Callithrix jacchus: one gene and its partner. The protein of the gene in region 1 interacts with the protein of each later gene in a biochemical or structural test. Links are inferred from orthologs where the notes say so. Each region holds a gene or a part of one and is shown on either strand. Other genes may lie near its edges.

Region 1 (11,127 bases):
ATTTTATAGAAAAGGAAACTTAGGCTCAGAGAAAGTAAGAAGTCTTCCCAATGACATACCTTATTTGTGAGGAAGCCAGGATTTATACCTAGTAGTGTGACTCCAGTCTATGCTGCTCTCTAAGGGATAGAATTGCTCCACAAATGTCCATCAGAGATAAGACACTGAATCACTTCTTAGATAGTATGTATAGAAAGAGCCACAAATGGTCAGAACTAAGCCTGCTGCCAGGAGGGAAGAGGAAAGAATGGTTAACAAAGGAAAAAGAAGGGATAATAAGAGCTTGTAGGACAACTAATGTCATGCAAGAAAAAAGTTCATTCAAAGTAATCAATTTGGTTGCAGGGCCATAGAAAACGAGCCTGTGGTTAAGTTTAATGAACTGCAACAATGCAGTATAATAGAAAGATGGAAAACAAAAGCAGGTTTCAGATCAAGATTGTTACAAAGGAAGGAGGTAAAGAAGTAATTTATTGGACAAAAAAAAGAGGAAGATCATGTAATTTTTTTCCAAAATGGAGGAGGACCTATACACAGGGAATCCTATGGAGAAGGAGAGCCTCTGAGAAAGGAAGCATAGAAGTTACATGCATGAGAACAAGAAAGAACCTGGGCTAACCCTGGAATTCAGGAACCTCTCCTCCTCACATACTGGAGGTAAGTCTAAGAGACCAAAGAGAGAGGAATTGCTGAGGTGAAGGTACAGACAAACTTAGGATGATACCCTCAATTTTATTAGTAAAAACAGAAGCAAGGTCATCTGCAGACAGTGAAAGAAGTTAGAGAGGTGTCACCCAGTCCTGTCAGTGACCAACATCCCTGGGTTGGTGTTTGGTAGAGCTGGTGAAATTAGACAAGCTAGTCATTCATGGTGACAGAAATAATCAGAGATGCACTCAGGTAATCTGGATTTTTACTTGATTTTTTTCAGATAGTTAAAACTAAAAAATTTATGTAACTCTTAAAGACTCAGGGTTACTCTAAAATGTTCAGAATTAAGTATGATGCTAACTTACAATCTGCTTATTGAGAAAAATACCTAATTGTAAAGAACAAATACAAAACTAATAGAAACATAACTGTCATGAGAATGAAAATGTTTTCTCAGGAATTTTTCTTCAATCAATTCTAATTGCAGAATTTTTCATGATATTCAACACTTATAAATTTAAAGCCAAAGGCTTCTGTATCATTTATACTTATTAAACAGAAAGACAAAGTTTGGGCAATGGTTTTTCTAAACTAAGCACAAAAAAGCTAACAAGAGTTATTTCAAATTTCTTCAGAAATATTCTTAAAATATTATTTATTAAAATGGAATTTTGGATTTTAATCTGATACAAACACTACTACACTGATAATACAGGGCTTAAAGAAAAAGTCCATTTCAGAAGCATTTTAATTTAAAAAGCTACTGAAAGTATTTTTTATATCCAGATAAAGGCCAAACATTGGGAGGAAAAACTGTGTAAAAAGTTTATGAATTATTGACTTAATATATCTCTATGTATTATAGACCGCCCTCATCTAAAATAGTTACAATACTATGTAACTTATGACACAATTTCCTTTAGGTGGACCAGAAAGAAGAATTTACATTAAAACATGTTATTCATATTTATTTTATTACATATATATTATTGTATACAACTTTGATAATAAGGATATTATAAATCATACTTTAAGCAAAAATCTATGCATGGCATATGTAAGCAGTAACATTTTGAAGCAAAAAAGCCATGAAAACATTTACCTAAAATGTATTAACACTGAAAAACACTAGTTTGTGCATAGTAATGATTGAAAGCTTCATAATACACTAGAATACTAGTAAGTCCTCAGGTATTGTAAGAAAAACCTGGTATAGAAAAAGACTAAATTAGACATATCCACATTCTTAGATGTGCATATCATCTAGAAATAAATCCCTCAGTGTGGCAGTGCACTAAGCATCCTTCCTTTGGCACTTATCAATACAGACAAAGATGTATTTGGTTTAATGTGGTTTTATTCTTAGACACATTTTAGTTATTTTATATAGATAAAAATATACAATATTGCTTTTAAAACTTAAATTTTGTAACTGTATAACTGATTTGTCATCATATTCACAATTAAAGAGCCTATTTTTCCACTTAACAATACGTCCAATAACTTGTGGAAGAGAGTAACAAAAATGGTTTATAGAAGACTTAAAAGGTTTAAATGTAAAAATAGAATATTAAGCTAGACCACTAGTCTAAATCCTTAGATATCTTATGCTGGAAACAAATTATGAAATGCTTCAGGCAAATTTTTTTCAACACAAGTTGATTATGCAGATTTAAAATTTTGACTGAAAATACATAGAACTGACAGAGATTTTGTCTGAAGCCACTTTTAAATACAATAATTTACTAAAAAAAAGTAAGACAAATGAAAATTGTGTTTTAATACATCTCAGTTTGGGATTCCATCAGATTGTAAAATAATACATGCAAAATGTGTCTAAGCTCTTCAGCGCTCATATCTAAAGAAAAGAATAGCTGGGTGCAGTGGCTCATGCCTGTAATCCCAAAACTTTGGGAGGCCGAGGCAGGATCACCTGAGGCCAGGATTTCAGACCAGCCTGGCCAACATAGTGAAACCCCGTTTCTACTAAAAATACAAAAATTAGCTAGGCATGGTGGCACATGCCTGTAAATCCCAGCAACTCGGGAGTCTGAGGCAGTAGAATCACTTGAACCCAAGAGGTGGAGGTTGCAGTGAGTCGAGATTGTACCATTGCACTCCAGTCTGGGAGGCAGAGTGAGACTCTGTTTCCCTCCACATCCCCCCGCAAAAAGAAGAAGAAGTAGAAAAGAATAAAAAATGGTGGCATATTTTCTTTTAAACCATTTCAGGACAGTAAAGTAGATAGGATGCTTAATTTGCTTATTGGTAATGAAGATCATTATATCATTAAAAACAACCTAATGTCTGAATGTAAAGGAACTATGTTAAAGCAGTTGGATTTATTACTTGATTTCTTAAAAAGACACATTGACAAAGGATGTAAAGACCCAACAAATTATTTAAGTGTATATATAAGGTGTGGACTTCTTAAAATGAAAAACTGCATATATCTTACAAATAATTTTGTTCATTCTATCTATACAATGCACCATTCAATGCACTCATTACAATACTTTGCACCAAACATTGCTACCTGCAATCTTAACATTCCTCAAATATGAGAAAAACCAAGTTTCCACTGTTCTAGGAAGCGAAATTTATAAAGTCAACACAATATATTATCAAGGATTATAGACCTAAGTTTTTAAAGACAATTTATACACATTGAAATAGGTGCTTTGCTTAATAGAATTAAAAAGCTAGAAATAAAGCTTCTTGCAATTTAATAAACAGTCACAGTTAACAGCAGATTTTTCACATGGCAACATTCAACTATCATCATAGAAATTTCAATAAAGATAAACAGTGGTATATTTATTTCTTCTGAAAACACCGTTGAAGAATTTAAGTGCTATTATATATTAAGAAATAATTTGGAAAGACATTTTACTTTAAAATTTTTTCAACATAAGGCACATAGCAACATTTATAGTCTAGAAACAACTAAATTATGCAATAAATAATTATTTTTCAATCACTGTTTGCCCTTTACCTGAAGTAAGTAGGGGAGTAGGACAGTTAAAACATGCCTGAATTAATAAAATGGTTGGATTTTGGAAATACAAATAATATTTGTGCGCAGAAAATAATTAAAAAAAAGAATACTTTACATAAAATATACATCCTACAGTGTTATAGGTAGAAAAAAGTGTGAGGCACTTAGATTAATAGTGAAGGAGGAAAGCACTGAGATTATCTTTTTATGAAAAGCACCAAATCATTTATTTTAACATCCAAGATAAATGCAGAGGCTAAAATGATAGGAAAAATGAGTTTAGTTCTGTAACTTTGTATTTGGAGAACTAGTAAGAATCCAGAAGTTCAAAACTCAAAATATTTTATTTTTATTCTGACAGAAATAATTAAAATAGAGAATGTTTTCTAATTTAGAAGAGTCTTAAAGTTTCCCTGAATAAGTTTTGCATATTTTGTGATGCTCAGAATAATGTGAAATGTAGATAGTATCTCACTACTCTGTGGCAGCACACTTTCTACACTAATGACTATAGTATATATAATTTTGATATCATTTTGAAAATTCCTTTTCCAGAAACAGAAATTAAAATTGGTTTGGAAGAATTGTGAAGAGCATGCATCAATGCCTCCATGTGAACTTGCTGACATCCAACAGTGACAGTTTTATTATTCCACAATCCTTTACAAACTAATTTAATCCAAAAACCAGGGTCAAAATTGGGCTTGGAATTACAGGAATCCACTTGATGTCAAATCAGGAAAAGGTGTGGCTTCTGACGGATGATGAAGTGGCTGAAGATGTGTGGTAGTCTGAGTGTTATTTATGTTATTTAATTCAGCTGGATATGTTTCATTTAAAACTCCATTCTGAAACTGAAAACAAAAATAGTGATGCAACTTACTGGAATGGATCTTCCAAGTATCTTAAGCCATTAAATAACATATTAACATGTATTTTTAAAATCTTACCCCTGAGAGTTGTGAACTTCAAGTTCCTTTACTGCTACTAAATGTTAAATCTTTCATACAGTGAAGACATAACTGAGGACATATTATGTATTAGCTGCATTTATAACCTTTTTTTTTCATTAATTTGACAGGAAATTTTGAATATGGTACAGATGAGTGATACAGCTGCCTCATTTCAGACTGCCTTTGGATAACATAGGAATTGATGGATCAAAGAGCATCAGTCAGGAATTATAGTTGACCAGGTTTCAAGTTGTAGGTGTCAATGAATTGGTTATATTCAGGAATCTTACACTGGAATGCAAAACTTTTCCAAAAAAGGCAGCTTCTGATTTTCTAAATATTCTTAAAATATTACACCACAGGTATGATTTGCTTAACCAGTATCTTATTCATAATATACTTTTAATTAGTGAATACTACTGAAAGTATAGTTCTAATTACAGAATCAAGTTACCAAAAGAAAATGCCCTTTCTTGTTTTCTTATACTGCAATGAATCTGGTTTCTGCAACTGCAAGTAGAAAAAAAGAAAAACAAAAAAAAAAAAAGGAAGGAAACGAAGATGCATATCCCTGTAGAGTTTTAGATTATAGAGCCTTTATATTTTAGTTAGTGTATGTTCTGCAAATGTTAAAACAGATTAAAATTATATTATTAATTGCTTCAAATAAATCTACCTTTCTAAACCTTAGGTAGCATCAGGCTTCAGTAATCAAAATATTGATTACTTCACAGATCCTCCAAAACAAATCTATAGTAAAAATCATATAATCTGATCTTTAATGAATGGCAACTCTGTAAATTCTTTAAATAAAAAGTTAATAGTACTTGTTCAGATAATGGTGAGTTTTAAATGAATTTTTCTCATTACTCATAACACAATTCATGTCAGCCATTCTCTTTAAACATACTGTACAGAGCAGTGTCATCCAATAGAAATGTGTGAGCCACATAGAGAACTTAAATTTTTGACTGCAGTAGATTAAATAAAATACATTACTAAAGTTAATTTTACCTGTTTCTTTTTACTTTTTTTAATGTGGCTACTGAAAAAATTAATCATTTCAACATGAAATAAATAATAAAAGATGAGATGTTTACATTTTCTCAAGCCAGGTCTTCAAAATCCAATGTGTATTTCACACAGCACATCTCAATTTGGACTAGCTACATTTCAAGTGTGTAAGAGCTACTCAGTGGCTCAATACTGAGTGTCTTAGCTCTGTAACATCTACTCTGGAGCATATGTAGGTCTACAGAATTATTTGGTTATTCACAAAGAAGCAATACAAAGTAGTGAGGGGAAAACACTGCAAAGAACTTATGTGGTACTAATGCAACTCCTTATTCAAAATGTAATTTTACAGAATTAACTTCTATACAATTACTCAAGAGTAAAATATACTTTCATAGCAATCTTGTGAGATTGTCTATAATTGAATATTATTCAATTTTTATAGAACTGAAGGATATAAGGAGTAAGAATAATCTTCGCCATCCTTTTCTATTAAAATGGTCATAAAATACGACAAACAAAATGTATGAAAAATCAGACAAACATAATGTATGAAAAAAGCCAGAAAATACAATTAAGGATAAAGATTCAGGTCATACTTCTAATCATTATACTCAAATACAGAGTAAACGGGGGTCAAGGAACTTAATTTTAGTCAAAATATTCTTTAAAACTAAACTTAAATATACTCTAAAATGAACTAAGTATTTTCTACTGGAAAAGCATAAATGCAAACATGATGTATTCCTCAGTGGCTTTCTGTTACCTTTTTTTTATTTAAGTGATCATTTTTAGATTTAAAGTGTATTCACTGCTAGAAGGATTCTGATGACACATTTAAACAATAAAAATATACTGTCAAGCTTGATTTCCATGACAGAAAGCTAGCTGAGTTACCTCTTTTAAGAAAGCCAGAAAAGAAACAAAGCAATTCTGCCTTAAAGGATAAAATGAAGATAGGGCAGGTAATGTGAGGAATAGCTAGAGAACATGGAGGCCTAGGACTTAATTCCAGGGATATAATCTAGGACAAAGGCATTATAAGAAAGCACACTTACATTTGAGTCTAACTCAATTTCAAACACATCCAAAAAAATAGAGCCGGGAAGAAACTATTCTTAAAAATTGCAATATGTTTATAAAGTTTGAATTTTTAAAAAGCCATATAATTTTTAAAGAATCCAGAAAGAATCAACCAAATTACCCATTTTAAATGTAATACTTTTAAAAACTAATTTCACTTGCTAATTTAGGTCATCTTACATTAAGGACACATTTATGTTGCTTTAGCCCTTGACACCTTTCTCCCTCATGACTCAGGTGAGTGATGTATTAGTAACATACTGGAAAAAGTACAGGCTTATGAAAAAAAAGGTAGTCACAGATATAATGAAAAATGCTGTCTCCATGAATGCTGTAGATAATAGATTAAAATCAGCGGACATAAAAAATGTGTAACATGTCTATTTATACGGTGACAAGAATCACTGAAAGATTCATTCAGTTTGTTAATACCCTTACCTTGTTTAAAAATGCCTGTTGACCTGGCAGTACTGGACTGTACTGCATCTGACCCACATGGGTGTGCTGAGGTTCTGGCTGGCACTGATACATCGACACAGACCCAGCATAACATGTCTGAGGGGTTACTATGGCTGACTGTGGATTTAATCCATGGTGTTGGTTTTCAGGAACTTGTAAACAAGTGACAAATTGTTCTAAACTAGAAGTAGTGGAGTATGGGGATGGTTCAAAACTCCCCATAGGATAGTCCAACTCTGTACATTTGGAATGTTGTGGTAATACAGACTGATTACAGGAAATAAAGTTCTGTGTATAAGGCATAGGATCAATCTCAGATTTGTAGGGAAACTCTTGATTGATCCCATGTACGTCTGAAAAGACATTATACTGTTGGAGGTCTTGCTGAGGACAACTGAAAGGCACAAATTGGGTAGAGTTCCAGTTTGCAAACATGCCATTGACTTGCATATGCTTCATTTTCTGACACAGTTGTTGCTGTGGCTCCACTACTACTTGCTTCTGGTGATGCTGTTGCTGCTGTTGCTGTTCTAGCTGTAGGTGTTCCTGTACCATACAGCTTGAGTTCAGGGCCAGTGACTGTTGCTGTTGGTAATCTGAAGGTACGAAGGCAGACTTATTTAAAGAATCTTGGATATATGTCAGGATTTCATCTGTTAAGTCAATGTCTCTGAAGTCAACCTCACCAGAAAAATCATTTCTGAAAAATTTTTCATTCTGCATGTGTTTGATGTCTTCAAGATCAATGCCTAGGTTTTTCATAATGCTGTATAAGTCAGTGTTTTTACTATCTTGAAAGAGCCCTGGGTGACCTCCAGCAAATGAGTTTACATCCTGAGACTGGTCAATTTGCTCATGTTTCAGGATAGTATCATTTCCCATTGATGCAGTATTATCTTGCCAATTTCTGCATTCATTCATAGATTCATTAAAAAAATTGTTGTCAAAAGGTGCAGTACATGAAGTACTTGAAGCAGGATAGAGATAAATAGACTCATCTTGTTGCATCATGGCAGCCAGGAGGGAACTAGGATTGAGACACTCCTTGTTTAGAGTTGATTTGGTAGCAGAATCTTTTCCACTCGTGCCATTTTTAGTCCTTAGTGGTAAGGGATCCATTATGGCAGGAAAAGGGTTGGTTACTTCATACAATACAGCTTCTCCAGTGGTAAACATAAAAGGCAACTTCGTATTTCGTTTTCGTAAATGCTCATTTCCTTCCTCATCTCTAAAATTGTGTATAAAAAAGTCTTAATAAAAATTATATCATAAACATTTAAAAATAAATATAATTACAAAAAGAAAAACAAGCAAAATACATAATTGAATTCAGAAGGGGACATATTTTATTTTCACCTCAATTATTCTCATGAGTAGTGCCATAAAATTGTTTTTCAGACAAGCATGTTTAAATAATTTAATTGTTAAAAATTAACTTAGTTAATTCCATGGTCAGGTTATATCCCTACCTGACATCCTGTAGAAAAAATAAGTTTGTGTGGAATAAAGATCTACACATAAAAACAGACTATAAGAATTTAGGGGCCAGGTGTGGTGGTACATGCCTGTAATTGCAGCACTTTGGGAGGCAGATGTGTGCGATTTGTTGAGCCCAAGATTTTGAAACCAACCTGGGCAACATGGTGAGACCCCTACCTCTGCAAAATAATAAAAGTTAGCTGGGCATGGTGGCACATGCCTACAGTATTGGCTACTGGTGAAGCTGAGGCAGGAGGATTGCCTGAGCCTGGAGGTTAACCCTAACCCTAACCTTAATGAGCCATATTTGTGCCACTGCATTCCAGCCTAGGTGATAGAGTAAGATCCCATCTCAAAACAAAATTAAAAAGTTTATGAATTAGAAATTTAAGAATCTGAAACAACTAACCTCTCTAGTAAAACCCAGAAACTATAAAGACATTACTGGTATACTTGGTAATATGAAAATTATTTAGTATTAATTAAAGTGTTTGTATTTTTGCAAGAGAATTCTTAAGGCATAAAGAAAATATTTTTAACATATATAATGTATTTATAATATATATATAAAATTTCATATCTATAATAGGTAAAAAGCTCCAATAGAGTCTAAGAGAGAGTCAAGCAACTCAAGAAAAACAGGTAAATGATAATACAAACTTGTAATTCAAAAAAGAAAAGTGTCCTAGAAAGATGTAACAAGATACCCTCCCTCATTAGTAATAAATAAATGAAACAACAAACATGTCTTATAACAGAAGCACACAAAATATCAACACATGTATGGACATATGAACTCCCAAAAGACAGAACATGTATTCTTTACAGGATTACATGGGATATTTTACCAACACAGACCATGTGTTAGATTATAAAATAAGCCACCACAAATTTCAAAAAACCTGAAGTCCACTCAGGGAATGTTTTCTGACTACAATGGAATTAAACTAAAAGTCAATCACAAAAAGGCAACTAGAAAAATCCCCAAACATCAAAAAGTAGAGTAACACCGTATTTATAAATAATTCACTAATAAAAATCAAATGAAAAGAAAATTAGCCAGTATTTTCAATTAAATAATAAAAATAAGACAGCAAAAGATGAGGGTTGTAGTTTAAGTGTTGTACTTAAAGGGAAACTGATATAATGTTTAAGTATATATATTTTTAAAAGTTAGAAAAAATTATATATTATACTCAAAGAAGGTAGAAGGAAGAAAATAATAATGAGCAGACATAATTAAAATGACAAACAAATGTGTACACTAGAAAAAAAAAATCAATCAACCAAAATTTGGATCTTAATAAAGACTAATAAAATCTAACCTAAAAAAAACTGCCTTCTAGAAACATTGATCAAGGGAGAAGGGACAAATTTGTAGAGGTACACACACACCCATGCACGCATATACATACATACACACATACGCCTGTACTTCCATGGGTACTTACAAACATACACATTCACCATGCTCATGGGTTCAAAGGCTCAGTATTAAAAAGATGTTAATTCTCCCCAAATGATCTACAGTTTCAATGTAATCCCACTCAAAATCTCAACAGATTTTCAGACAACTGCTTTCTAAAATGTATGTGGAATTATAAAGGGCAAAAAAGAGCCAAGGCAATCTTGAACAACAACCAAAAAAAGGCAAAACAAACAAAATGAAGACACAGTCAGACATCGAAATGTATAATAAAGAGAGAATAAGACAGTGTAATGCTGGTACAAAATAGACAACTACATCAATGGAACTATTACAGGACGACAGAATCCAGAGAGAGAACAACAGACAAAATCCCCTGATTAAAATACAGTGCAGTGGGGAAAAGATGACCTTTTCAGTAAAGCATCTTTTCAATGTTCCTGGTCAACTGGGTACACATATAAGGGCTGGGGAGAGTCAATCTTAATCCTTACCTCAAGCCACAGACAAAAGTCAATTCTCCAGAATGGAAGAAAACATTTGCAATACAAATATTTGACAAAAGACTCATTTGCAGCATATATAAGAAACTCTTAAAATCACTGCTATATTTACAGAACATATTCTAAAAAAAAAATTGTTATATTTTTCTTTTATATTACCAATGACATTAGCTTTTCATATGCTCAGGATAAAACCCTAGAGTGTTCTTTTAATATTCTTTAAATATTAGCTCTATTGATCACCTGCACAGGTAGGTGACCAATAAAGTTTGTCAATTGTATCTTCTCAATGTCTCTCACATGTGCTCTCCTTACTAAACAAATTACATTAACTTTTCAATTTTTATTTCCAGACTAAATTCTGATTGAATTATTTTTATGCGTTCACATAAGAGGACTTATGAAAACAACACTGATAACAGAAACAGAAAACATTCTTTGTGCTTACGTTAGCGGTCTCTGAGTTGCAATGATATAATCCGGTCTTCCATTTTTATAAAGCAAGCGTGCATTAGACTGGACCCATGCCCATCGATTGTTTTTTGTAAGAAGTCGGAAAAC
Region 2 (11,127 bases), on another chromosome or scaffold:
TTTTCCTAATCCCTTCTGTCTTCCTCCTACAGTTCCACCTTTTTCCTTTTCCTCGTTCTCAACATTTTCAAAGGGAGAAAAATCTGCTTGCTGTATTTCATATCACCCCCTTTGGACACATATGGAGTCTCTTGTCCTATTTGTTTTTCACCAAGACCTGTTCTACTTTCTTTCAGTCTTTGCTTTAAATCAGCTCTTCCTTTGTCCTGCCTAAGATTACTCCATTCACTCTTGCAGTCCCTCAGGACTGGTGTAAATAGACCATTATGGCTATAATCAGTTGTTCTATTTCATTTACTTTTCATTTTTATAATTTTTTAAATGGAACACTTCATAAATTTTTGTGTCACCCTTGCACAGGGGCCATGCTAATCTTCTCTATATTCATTCCAATTTTAGTATAAATGCTGCTGAAGTGAGCACTACTTTTTATTTTTAATCATTCTGTCTCTTTTAAACCCAAAGCAACTGTGACTTGGGCATGTGGAACTATTTGAATGAGCTAAAGTAACTTTCTTTGGCACCCTCCTATGGCACTGAACTGGTCTGTTCTGGTTAAATGGCATGTATCACACTCAATTGACTCCTTTTTGGTTTGTTTCACAGAGACAGGATCAGACTAGTTGCTCAGCCTGGCTTTGAACTCATGGGCTCAAGTGATCCCCTGCTTCAGCCTTCTAAGAGGCTGACATTATGAGCACAAGCACCACTGCATCTAGCTTCCACAATCCTTTCAATTACTGACAGTGATCCCTAAATTTATCCCTCTCTGTCTTCTCACATTTACCCCCCACCAAACACCTCAATCCAGGCATCCTTCCCTCACCGTCTCTCCTCCTCCCTGACTCTTTTTCTCCCAGCTTCTACTTTTCGAAAATCTTTTCACCCTCTTACCTGGAAGACCTCAGGCTGGCCAGGTTGCTGTGCTGACGATTGCTGAACATGTTGCTCACTAGAACTCGAACGATGATGAGGCTGCTGGCCCTGCCACTGTGGCCAGACACCCACACCCTCTGCTGTCCGTGTCTGGAATTGTCCTGCAGTCTGCCCAGTCTCAGGAGCTAGAAATACAGCAAGGAAGAATAAACAACTCCAATTTACACAATTCCACCGTGTACTAATTCCACAAGTCAAAACTCAGCCCTAAATTAATTTTTCTTCTCCAGGCAGCCTTTCCAAAGAGTCCTTTGCTCATTTAGATTAAATCTGCATACTATTAAATGTATAAAAATTTACATGACTTTACTATATATGCTAAAATATCATTTTTCATGTGGGTAGGTTTTAAATTCTAAATGGACTGTCACCTGGCATTTCCCTACAATTAGGTCAGTGCACCCAGAACACAGGCAAACAACTTTAACTACCAAATCCTTTCTCTTTACTGGTGAGATTTTCCTGTTACTCTCCTTGTGGTCTGGACTCACCAAAGTTGGATCCACGATTGGTGAGACTAGGGTAGGCAGCAGCACCAGGTGATGCAGTGGGAGCACCAGGGAGGGACATGGAGCTGAAGGAGGATGGAGTCTGAAAACTGCCCATGCCAAATTGGGAAGTACGTGCCTTAGTGGTAGCCTGGGTAGCCACCTGCTAAAGAGATGAAGAAGGGATACAGAACAGAGAATTAACATCATTGCACATACCATGCCTATGAGAGTCAACACTGTCAATCCCTGCATCCTTCTGAACCAAGATCATCACTTATTTCCTACTGTGTTTCTTCCAATTACTCTCAATCTCTCTTGACACTATTTTTTAGGCAGCTGAGATAAAAGTACAAAAAGCAACAAACTATGGGATTAATAAAAGTTGTAGTGAAAGCATCTTATAAACTGTAAAGTTATATAAAACTAGAGGCATTCAAAACTGTTAAGTATTACATGCAGGCCAGGTGGGGTGGCTCATACCTGTAATCCTAGCACTTTGGGTGGCCAAGCCAGGTGGATCACCTGAGGTGAGGAGTTCAAGACCAGCCTGGCCAACATGGTGAAACCCCTCTCTACTAAAAATACAAAGATTAGCCAGGCATGGTGGTACATGCCTGTAATCCCAGTTACCCGGGAGCCTGAGGCAGGAGAATCACTGGAACCCAGGAGGCGAAGGTTGCAGTGAACAGAGATTACACCACTGCATTCCAGCATGGGCAACAGAACGAGACTCAGGCTCAAAAAAAAAAAAATATATGCAGAGAAAAAATACTCTGCACCATAATTCAGTCTGTTCTACGTTCATTTGTTCCTAACGGTGCATTTTTTATAAAAACTATTTTCTCACAAGAGTTGTATATGTGCATCGTAGAATATTTGGAAAGTAAAGGAAAACAAAAAGAATCATTCATAATTTGTTAACATGTTTAGATAATTTCTTCGTTTTCATTTCCTCACGCATTTTGTACATAATTGAGATCATACTGCATCTAACATTCTGGAGCCTCCTTTTGGTTTTGACTTTTTAAAACTATTACTTGTATAACATAAATATATAGTAATATTAAACAATCTTTCTTTAGACAATATATTTATTGTGCATTATATTATATATATACAAATTTTTCAACTTTTGTAAACAGACATCACTGTAAGTTAGTCATTAATTTTCTCCTTTGTTCTTGTATTACATAGTCCTAAACAAAGAGGAAACATCTTAGAATTTACTCATAAACAAATGTGAAAACCAAACTCCACTGAGATTTTTTATTATCTGTGATTTTTAATTAGCTCCTCTCAACAAAGATGAAAACTGGAAACTGGAAGATAGGAGTTGCGGAGAAGGTATTTAAAATAGAAAACACTGACTCTACATATGTAAAAAAGACCAAACAAACAAAAAATAATACACAGGGAACAAACAGATATATAAGTTTTACCTGGGCAGAAAAGCCTGAGCGGGTAGTAGGGGTCCAAGTTGGGGCTGCTCCCTGGGTGGGGTTGGAGTGGCGGGAAATCTGGGCCAACATCTGTCCTGCAGAAGCTGATGGCTGGACAATGGTTACAGGAGGGGCTAAACCACTATTCCTAGGAGTGAACAAATGAGGTAAAGGATTAAAATGATAAATTTATTATAGAAGCTAGGAATCAAAGGACAATCTAGTGCTATCCCTAGATCCCCTTGACTTCCTGCAGGTTAAGGAAAATTTGATAACAATTTGGAAAAGACAAGAAAGACTGACAGTCACACACTGACCAGGACACAGAAATGGAGCCTAGTACATGGCAACAGGAAAATGCAAAGAAATAGGAGGAAGAAAAGCAGCTTGTTTGCCTCACACTAGGCCCTACAAGCTTCACTGCTTTTTCTGAAATAACCAGAGAAAGCAAGGGAAGAATAAAATTTGGATTCATCAGCTGAATCCCTCAGGGCCCTGTAAAGCAGCACATATATATGGGGCTCACCTGAAATTCTCTGCCGGCCGGGGGGTAGGAGGGAATGTGTTGCCCTGGGAGAATAGCTGTTGGGTGGCAGGGACAGTGCTGGAGGAGATGCCTTTACTCTGATCTGTGGACCAAAAGGAGTTGGGGGAGGGCCAGTCAAGGGGCTGTAGTATATTAGTTCAGCAAGTTCCTATTTACTCAGGTGGTATTATGATTAAGTGGAAAAACATCGGAAGATTACTGATTGGGTAGTGGCATGCCCATCAGTAAGTGATCTAAATGAGAATTTAAAAGGATAGTGAGAAAGAAACATACCTGCATTGATGTTGTGATAAATTTCTGAAAATCTTGGATCTCTATCCTGGGCAAATAAACCATCTGACTTCTCAAGGGGCTTGCTGTGTTCCGGTCCTGTGGTTGTCACAGGCTGAACAACCTGTGGAATACAATAATAAAAATAACCATTAAAGATTTAACATGACAATTTAATAACCCTAAAATTCATATAAAACATATGTAGATTCTAACTAGTACTGGAGGACACTTCCTAAGTAAATACTCTCTATCCTTTTCAAAGAAAAAGAGGACACAACTTACCTGGGAATGATTGTAGCTGGCCAGTCCATCTCTTCCTGGTACCATGTCCAATTCTGTTTGCTGTTGCTGCTGCCTATATGTCAAAGGACAGTGGAAAAGAGAAATAGGGAAAAAGAAAATTTTTTAAAGAATCTGGAAAAACTAGATTTTTTTTCTTAAAAAAAAGAATTATGGGCTGGGCGCGGTAGCTCATGCCTGTAATCCCAGCACTTTGGGAGGCCGACGCAGGTGGATCACGAGGTCAAGAGATCGAGACCACCCTGGTCAACATGGTGAAACCCCGTCTCTACTAAAAATACAAAAAATTAGGCAGGGGTGGCAGCAGGCTCCTGTAATCCCAGCCACTCTCGAAGCTGAGGCAGGAGAATCACTTGAACCCGGGAGGCAGAGGCTGCAGTGAACCTAGTTTGCGCCATTGCACTACAGCCTGGGTGATGAGAGCAAAACTCCGTCTCAAAAAAAAAACAAAAAACAAAAAAAAATTAACCAACCAACCAAACAAAAAAATATATGGGATTGCAAATGACCACCCCCTGGGTGACTGCTCAACAAATGATTATTTCACTCTTTCTTACCTTGGTGCCAGCTGCCCTGAGCCCATCTCCAAGGGTAAATTAGCTGTGGGACCTAGCTGTGGCCTCTGGACTGCGTTGGAGAGTGCAGGCCGTGGTTCTTGGCTAGAGTTCCTAGGAAAACAGAGTAGACAGTAAAGAAGGGAAGGAAGTGGAGGAGGGGGAGACAGAGACAAAGAGAACAATCAGATTCTGTATGTAAAGCTCTACAGATTCATCTGTAGGTGGAACAATCAATAAATCCTTCATTGAAGTCCAATCCTACAATTAACCTATGATGTCAAATAGAAACTATGTCCTATGGCACAAAGGGTCACCTTGTTGGGTTCTCAGTCCTTCTAGGTATTCAAAACCTGGTTGTTATATATATTCATAGTCTGTATTTTTTTAAAGCATAGGTAAAAAACTGAAAGTATGTACACTGATACATTAACAAAGACTATCTGGAGTATGAAATTTTTTTTTCCTTCTCTCTATACTCTTCAATACTTTCCACATTTTCTATAAAAAAATATTTATTTAAAAATAAAATACTGGCCAGGCACAGTGGCTCACGCCTGTAATCCCAGCACTCTGAGAGGCTGAGGCAGGGTGGATCACTTGAGCTAAGGAGTTTCAAACCAGCCTGGGCAACATGGCAAAACCCCGTCTCTACAAAAAATACAAAAATCAGCAGGAGTGGTGGTGGGCTCTTGTAGTCCCAGCTACTCAGGAGACAGGTGGGAGGATCGACTGAGCCTCAGAGGAAGAGGTCGCAGTGAGCTGAGATAGCGCCACTGCACTCTAGCCTGGTGACAGAGTGAGACCCTGTCTCAGTAAAACAAACAAACAAGCTCTAAAAGCTAATTAAAATTAATCATGTAGGGAAAATGATACGTAAACATGGAGAAAGCAGTTATTTCCAGAAATTCAAGTCCTTAAAATGACTTAAATTTTTTAAAATTTAAATAAAACGGAAACACAAAAATGATGCCTGTTGTATAATATAAACATGCAAAAAGACAGGAAAAAAAAAAGCTACAATGACCATGGCCTTCCACTTGAGTTCTAAGTTAATAAAAACTTCTAACTCAATCCATTGTGTTATATTAAGTTACTTAGCAAAGAATTAAACTTTACAAGTTCTAACGACTGAATTGGACAATGCTGTTGTCACTAGGTATTATTCATACTTGCTAAGTAGTCATAATCTGATCGTCAAGAGCTGGATTCAAGGCCAATTCTACAGAAAAAAAAGATTAAATGGCAAAGTGACAACCTACTAGATGGCTATAATAAAGAAAGACAATAATGAGTGTTAACAAGGATGTGGAGAAACCAGAACCCTTGTACATTGCTCCTGGGAATGCAGAGGGATGCGGGAGCTTTGGAAAACAGTTTGGCAGTTCCTCAAAAGGTAAAACAGAGTTACTCTGTGACCAGCAATTCCACTCCTGGGTGGAATTCAAGAGAATAAAGACATATATCCAAACACAAACTAGTATAGAAATATTCATGAAAGCATTTTTTCAGCTCCTTATCGCTATTTTACAGATGAAAGCATTCTTGATAACCAAAAAGTAGCAACAACCCAATGTCTGTTAATGAACACATAGTATGTGGCATATCTATACAACACGGATGACCTTTGTAAACATTTTACTAAGTGAAAGAGGCCAGTTACAAAGGAACTACATAGTCTGTGATTCCATTTATATGAAATGCCTAGAATAGACAAATTTACAAAGACAACAGATTCATAGTTACACCGAACTTGAGAGGAAGGGGAAAGAACAGGGAATGACTGTTAACTGATCTAGAATTTCTTTTGGAGGAATGAAAATATTCTGAAATTAGACTGCAATAAGAGTTACATAACTATGTGATATACTAAAAAACACTGGATACTTTAAATGGGTGAGGCGTATGATATGTGAAATATATCCCAATAAAACTTTTTTAAAAAGAAGCTGAGAAAAAAAGCTCAAATAGAAAAGTTCAAAAGAGAGGAACAGTAACTAATAAAACAGGAGGATATAGCTATGCTCTAAGCAAACAGCCCAAATAAAGCCCACTGCCTGCTTTTGTAAAGAAAGATTTACTGGAACACAGCCACAGTCTTCCGTTTGTCTATGACTGTTTTCATGCTGCAGCAGAGCTGAGTAGGTGCAATGAACACCACATGGCCCACAAAGCCCCCTTTACAGAAAGAGCTTGCCTACCCCTTGCTCCAGAGGAAAATCCTGCCAGACTAGAGCAATAAACTGGTATATAAAACATAATCCTTTTCAGAATGAGTTGATACATAGAATTGAAATATAAACCCTTCCATTTCAGGACCTAGTCTCTGAATTATTGTTGGTAAAATCTTATTCTGCCCAGGTGCAGTGGGTTATACCTGTGATCCTAGCACTTTGGGAGTTGAAGGAGTATGGATTGCTTGTGCCCAGGAGCTCAAGTCCAGCCTCTGCAACATGGAAAAACCCCATCTCTATAAAAAATACAAGAATTAGCCAGGCATCCTGGTGCACGCCTGTAGCTCCAGCTACTCAAGGGACTGAGGTGGGAGGATCGCTTGAGCCTGGGAGGTCAAGGCTGCAGTGAGCCATGATCATGCCACTGCATTCCAGCCTGGGTGACAGAGTGAGACCCTGTCTGCGGGGGGGAATAAAGTTTACTCTATTCTGATCAACTATCCCAAATCCTGTAAGCTGGAAAATGAGAAACTTCAAACTAATGGTGTTGAATATTGGAAAAGTAGAGGATAAGGGGACAGCTTGATAAGACTAAGAAGACTTGGTCCGTTAGAAATCCCAACGTCGGAAAATGCCTGTGTTATATTGTGAAATACAACTGATTGCTGAACATGGAGGTTGGGGCACCAAGCACTGTGCAGTCAGAATTTCGACTGTGACTTCTGACTCCCCCAAAACTTTACTACTAATGCCTACTGTTGGCTAGAAGCCTTATCAATAGCAAACTGTTGATTAACACATTTTGTATGTTGTATGTGTATATACTGTATTCTTAAAATAAAGCTAAAGATAAAATATTTTAAGAAAATCATAAGGAAGAGAAAATACATTTATAGCACTGTACTGTATTTATTGTTAAGAGTTTATATTATCTGTTTACAAGATGAGTCGTTTCTACGAAGTGGCAAGCAACCACAGTTGCCGACTTCATTCTACAGTACATATCAAGCAATTCACCTTTTTCTTTTTTCTTTTGTTGAGACTTCGCAGGCTAGAGTACAGTGTCGCAATCTTGGCTCACTGCAACCTCTGCTTACCGGGTTCAAGCGATTCTCTTGCCTCAGTCTCCCGAGTAGCTGGGACTACAAGCTCCCACCATCATGCCTGGCTAACTTGTATTTTCAGTAGAGACAGGGTTTCACCATGTTGGCCAGGCTGGTCTTGAACTCCTGACCTTATGATCTACCCACCTAGGCCTACCAAAGTGCTGGGATTACAGGCTTAAATCACTGCGCCCAGCCCACCTTTTTCTTATAATGTCATGACTTTTCCCTGCTTCTTGGGAACACTTCCAGCATCACTAGTGGCACTTCATATTGTTCCTAAATGTTATTAAAGGTTTACAGTATTTCACTAAACATGATGAAAAATACACAAGAACCATGAGATTTCACTTTTTACTACAATATACAATTTACCGGAGAGAATTGCTCATGAAGACATGATTAGCATCATATAGCATGTTAAGCAGACCGGCAACAATTGAGCAATAGGAGGTGGCTATAAAATTATTACAGTAGTACCGTATGTATTACAGTTAACTTTATGCAGTTATAATTTAAAACTACATCTTTACATTTGTTCACATTTATCTCAACTACAAATAGTACCATATATAGTCTGTGCGTATGTATAGGTTGTGATACTTTTTTTTTTTTTTTGAGACGTAGTCTCACTCTGTCACTCAGACTGGAGTGCAGTGGTGCAATCTCAGCTCACCGCAACCTCTGCCTCCCAGGTTCAAGTGATTCTCGCGCCTTAACCTACCAAGTAGCTAGGACTATAGACATGCGCCACCATGCCCAGCTAATTTTTGTATTTTCTTTTTTTTAAGTAGAAATGGGGTTTCACCATATTGGCCAGGCTGGTCTCAAACTCATGACCTCAAGTAATCTGCTCAGCTCAGCCTCCCAAAGTGATGGGATTACAGGTGTGAGCCACCTCACCTGGCCAGCATTTTTACTTTTTATAATAGATTTCTATACACTTTATGGTAGTAAATGATAAAATAAGATTAGAATTTACATATATTTAATACTTTCATGACATGACTTTTTCTAATTTTTTTCAATAAGTCTAGGCTATGTAGCTTATTGTAGGGTTTTTCAAATTGTCACAAATTTCCAAAAATTTTTCCAACACATTTACTGAAAAAAATCCATGTGTCAGTGGACCTGGATTTATACCAACTAAAATCTTTGGAATCTTCAGTACGGTAAGTGTCTTTTTGTCTGCTAGTGAGTTGACTGACGGCTGGCAACCCCTAGGCAGCTTTAGGATAGGGGCTTGTCTCTGGAAAGATCAAGGCAAAATTAGAGGGTTGGGATTTTTAGCCCTAACCTTCAACATCATGGAGGGGCACGGGACTGAAGGTTAAGTTGATTGCCAATGGCCAATGATTTAATCACTCATGCCTACATAATAAATATTCCATTAAAACGCAAAAGGACGCGGTTTGAGGAGCTTCTTGATAGGTAAACACATGGAGATCCCTGGAGGGCAGCCACCCAGAAGGAGTATAAAAGCTCTGTGCTCCTTCCTCCTTACCTTGCCCTATCTATCTCTTCATCTGATGTTCACTAGTATTCTTCGTAATATCCTTTATAATAAACTGGTAAACAAAGGTAAATGTTCCCTGAGCCATTCAAGCAAACTGACGGAACCCAAGTAGGGGGTCATGGGAAACAGCTGGTCAGTCAGATACACAGGTACAACAACCTGGAGCTTGTAATTGGCATCAGAAGTGGGAGCAGTCTCATGGTACTGCATCTACAAATTGGGAGATCTGATGCTATCTTCAAGTAGACAGTAAACTGAATCGAATAGAAGGACAACCAGCTGGTATCCACTGCAGAAGTGACTGCTTGATGTTTTTTTTAAACAGAGTCTCCCTCTGTAGCCCAGGCTGGAGTGCAGTGGCGCAGTCTACTCACTGCAACCTCCACCTCCCAGGTTCAAGCAATTCTCCTGCCTCAGTCTCCAGATTTAGCTGGGACTACAGCCACACACCACCATGCCCAGCTGATTTTTGTGTTATTGCTTGATTGTTTTAGCCCTCACATTGGGCATCAGAAGTATTGTGTGTTGTGAGAGCAGAGGAAAAAGAGCTTTTTCATACTCCTCTATAATACGTACTTCACATTGGTGTTGGTACAGATGATGTACTCAATTTCATCTGAGTAAGGGTTCTGGAAAGTAAAGGAGCTTGTTCTCATCCAGAGCCATTCTTGGTTCTTAGACCGGAACCGGAACATGACAGACAGCACTTGGCCTTTTAATTTCACAACCTGAAAAAGTTTTCATGCCATCAGTGGAACTCATAGAAAATTTTCATTACAAAAATAAATAAAAATTTTCCAATTTCTACAATCCTAAAACTCTTACCATTATCCTTGAAGCACCAGTATTTTTCAGTATTAACACAAAATGAGAAAGTATAAACTAAGTGATTAAATATGGAGGCATATTTCTCATGCTTCCTCTCAGAGACTCACGCTTTCTTATTAGGCTGGTGCAAAACACATTATGATTAAAAAAAAAAAGGCAAAAAATGCAATTTCTTTTGCACCAACCTAATACTATTCTAGTCAAATAGAAATAATACTTATTTATACTTATTTATAGGAAGGAAAAGACTGTTTCCCTACTTCTCTTGGGAAGTCCATTAAAGATACTCTGAGTTCGCTTTAGAAGTCTGTACCAGACATTTGGTAAATTTAATGACACTGAATATAGCTTACATACTGCTCTTTAATCCGATTTCTCCCCTGCAACCTGAGAACATCTGTCTTTTATGCCTTTGGCCTCCCAAAGCGCTGGGATTACAGGTGGGAGCCACCATCCCAGATGAGAATATCTGTTTTCACAGCATCTACAGAGGTTTCCATAAATAAAATTAAGTTGGCTTTAGTCTTGTTTTGCTTTTGTTTTTTGAAAGTAACTAATTTTATTTTATTTTTAGTCTCGCTCTATCACTCAGGCTGGAGTGCAGCAGTGCAATCTTGGCTCACTGCAACCTCTGCCTCCTGGGTTCAAGTAATTCTCATGCCTCAGCCTCCCAAGTAGCTGGGATTAAAGGCATAAGCAACCATACCCAGCTAATTTTTGTATTTTTACTAGAGATGGGGTTTCAGGATGTTGGCCAGGCTGGTCTCAAACTCCTGGCTTCAAGTGATCTGCCTGTCTTAGCCTCCCAAAGTACTAGGATTACAGGTGTTCAGCCACCATGTCCAGCCAATTTTAGGTTATTTTAGATGCTAGTCTCATGGAATAAAAAAATCATCTTTTAACTCTACTTTCCTAAAAATTAAAAAACAACAGTATCAGAAGCTAATCACTTATTTTATAATACTA

Evidence for each region.
Region 2: the proteins of AHR (region 1) and ARNT form a complex in vitro, tested with the Homo sapiens proteins (14 studies listed by BioGRID, with this or other methods). The link is inferred for Callithrix jacchus from reciprocal best matches to the Homo sapiens genes AHR and ARNT.

What each region holds. Positions count from the first base shown.
Region 1 is NC_133512.1:41,098,114-41,109,240, forward strand, and holds the end of AHR (aryl hydrocarbon receptor), read right to left. Parts: coding exon 11,015-11,127; intron 8,387-11,014; coding exon 7,138-8,386; intron 4,504-7,137; coding exon 4,360-4,503; 3' UTR 1,607-4,359; downstream 1-1,606. UniProt on the Homo sapiens protein: Ligand-activated transcription factor that enables cells to adapt to changing conditions by sensing compounds from the environment, diet, microbiome and cellular metabolism, and which plays important roles in development, immunity and cancer.
Region 2 is NC_133519.1:10,715,390-10,726,516, forward strand, and holds part of ARNT (aryl hydrocarbon receptor nuclear translocator), read right to left. Parts: intron 10,062-11,127; coding exon 9,910-10,061; intron 4,655-9,909; coding exon 4,544-4,654; intron 4,042-4,543; coding exon 3,969-4,041; intron 3,808-3,968; coding exon 3,687-3,807; intron 3,496-3,686; coding exon 3,393-3,495; intron 3,015-3,392; coding exon 2,867-3,014; intron 1,591-2,866; coding exon 1,428-1,590; intron 1,062-1,427; coding exon 895-1,061; intron 424-894; exon of another isoform or gene 316-423; intron 1-315. UniProt on the Homo sapiens protein: Required for activity of the AHR. Upon ligand binding, AHR translocates into the nucleus, where it heterodimerizes with ARNT and induces transcription by binding to xenobiotic response elements (XRE).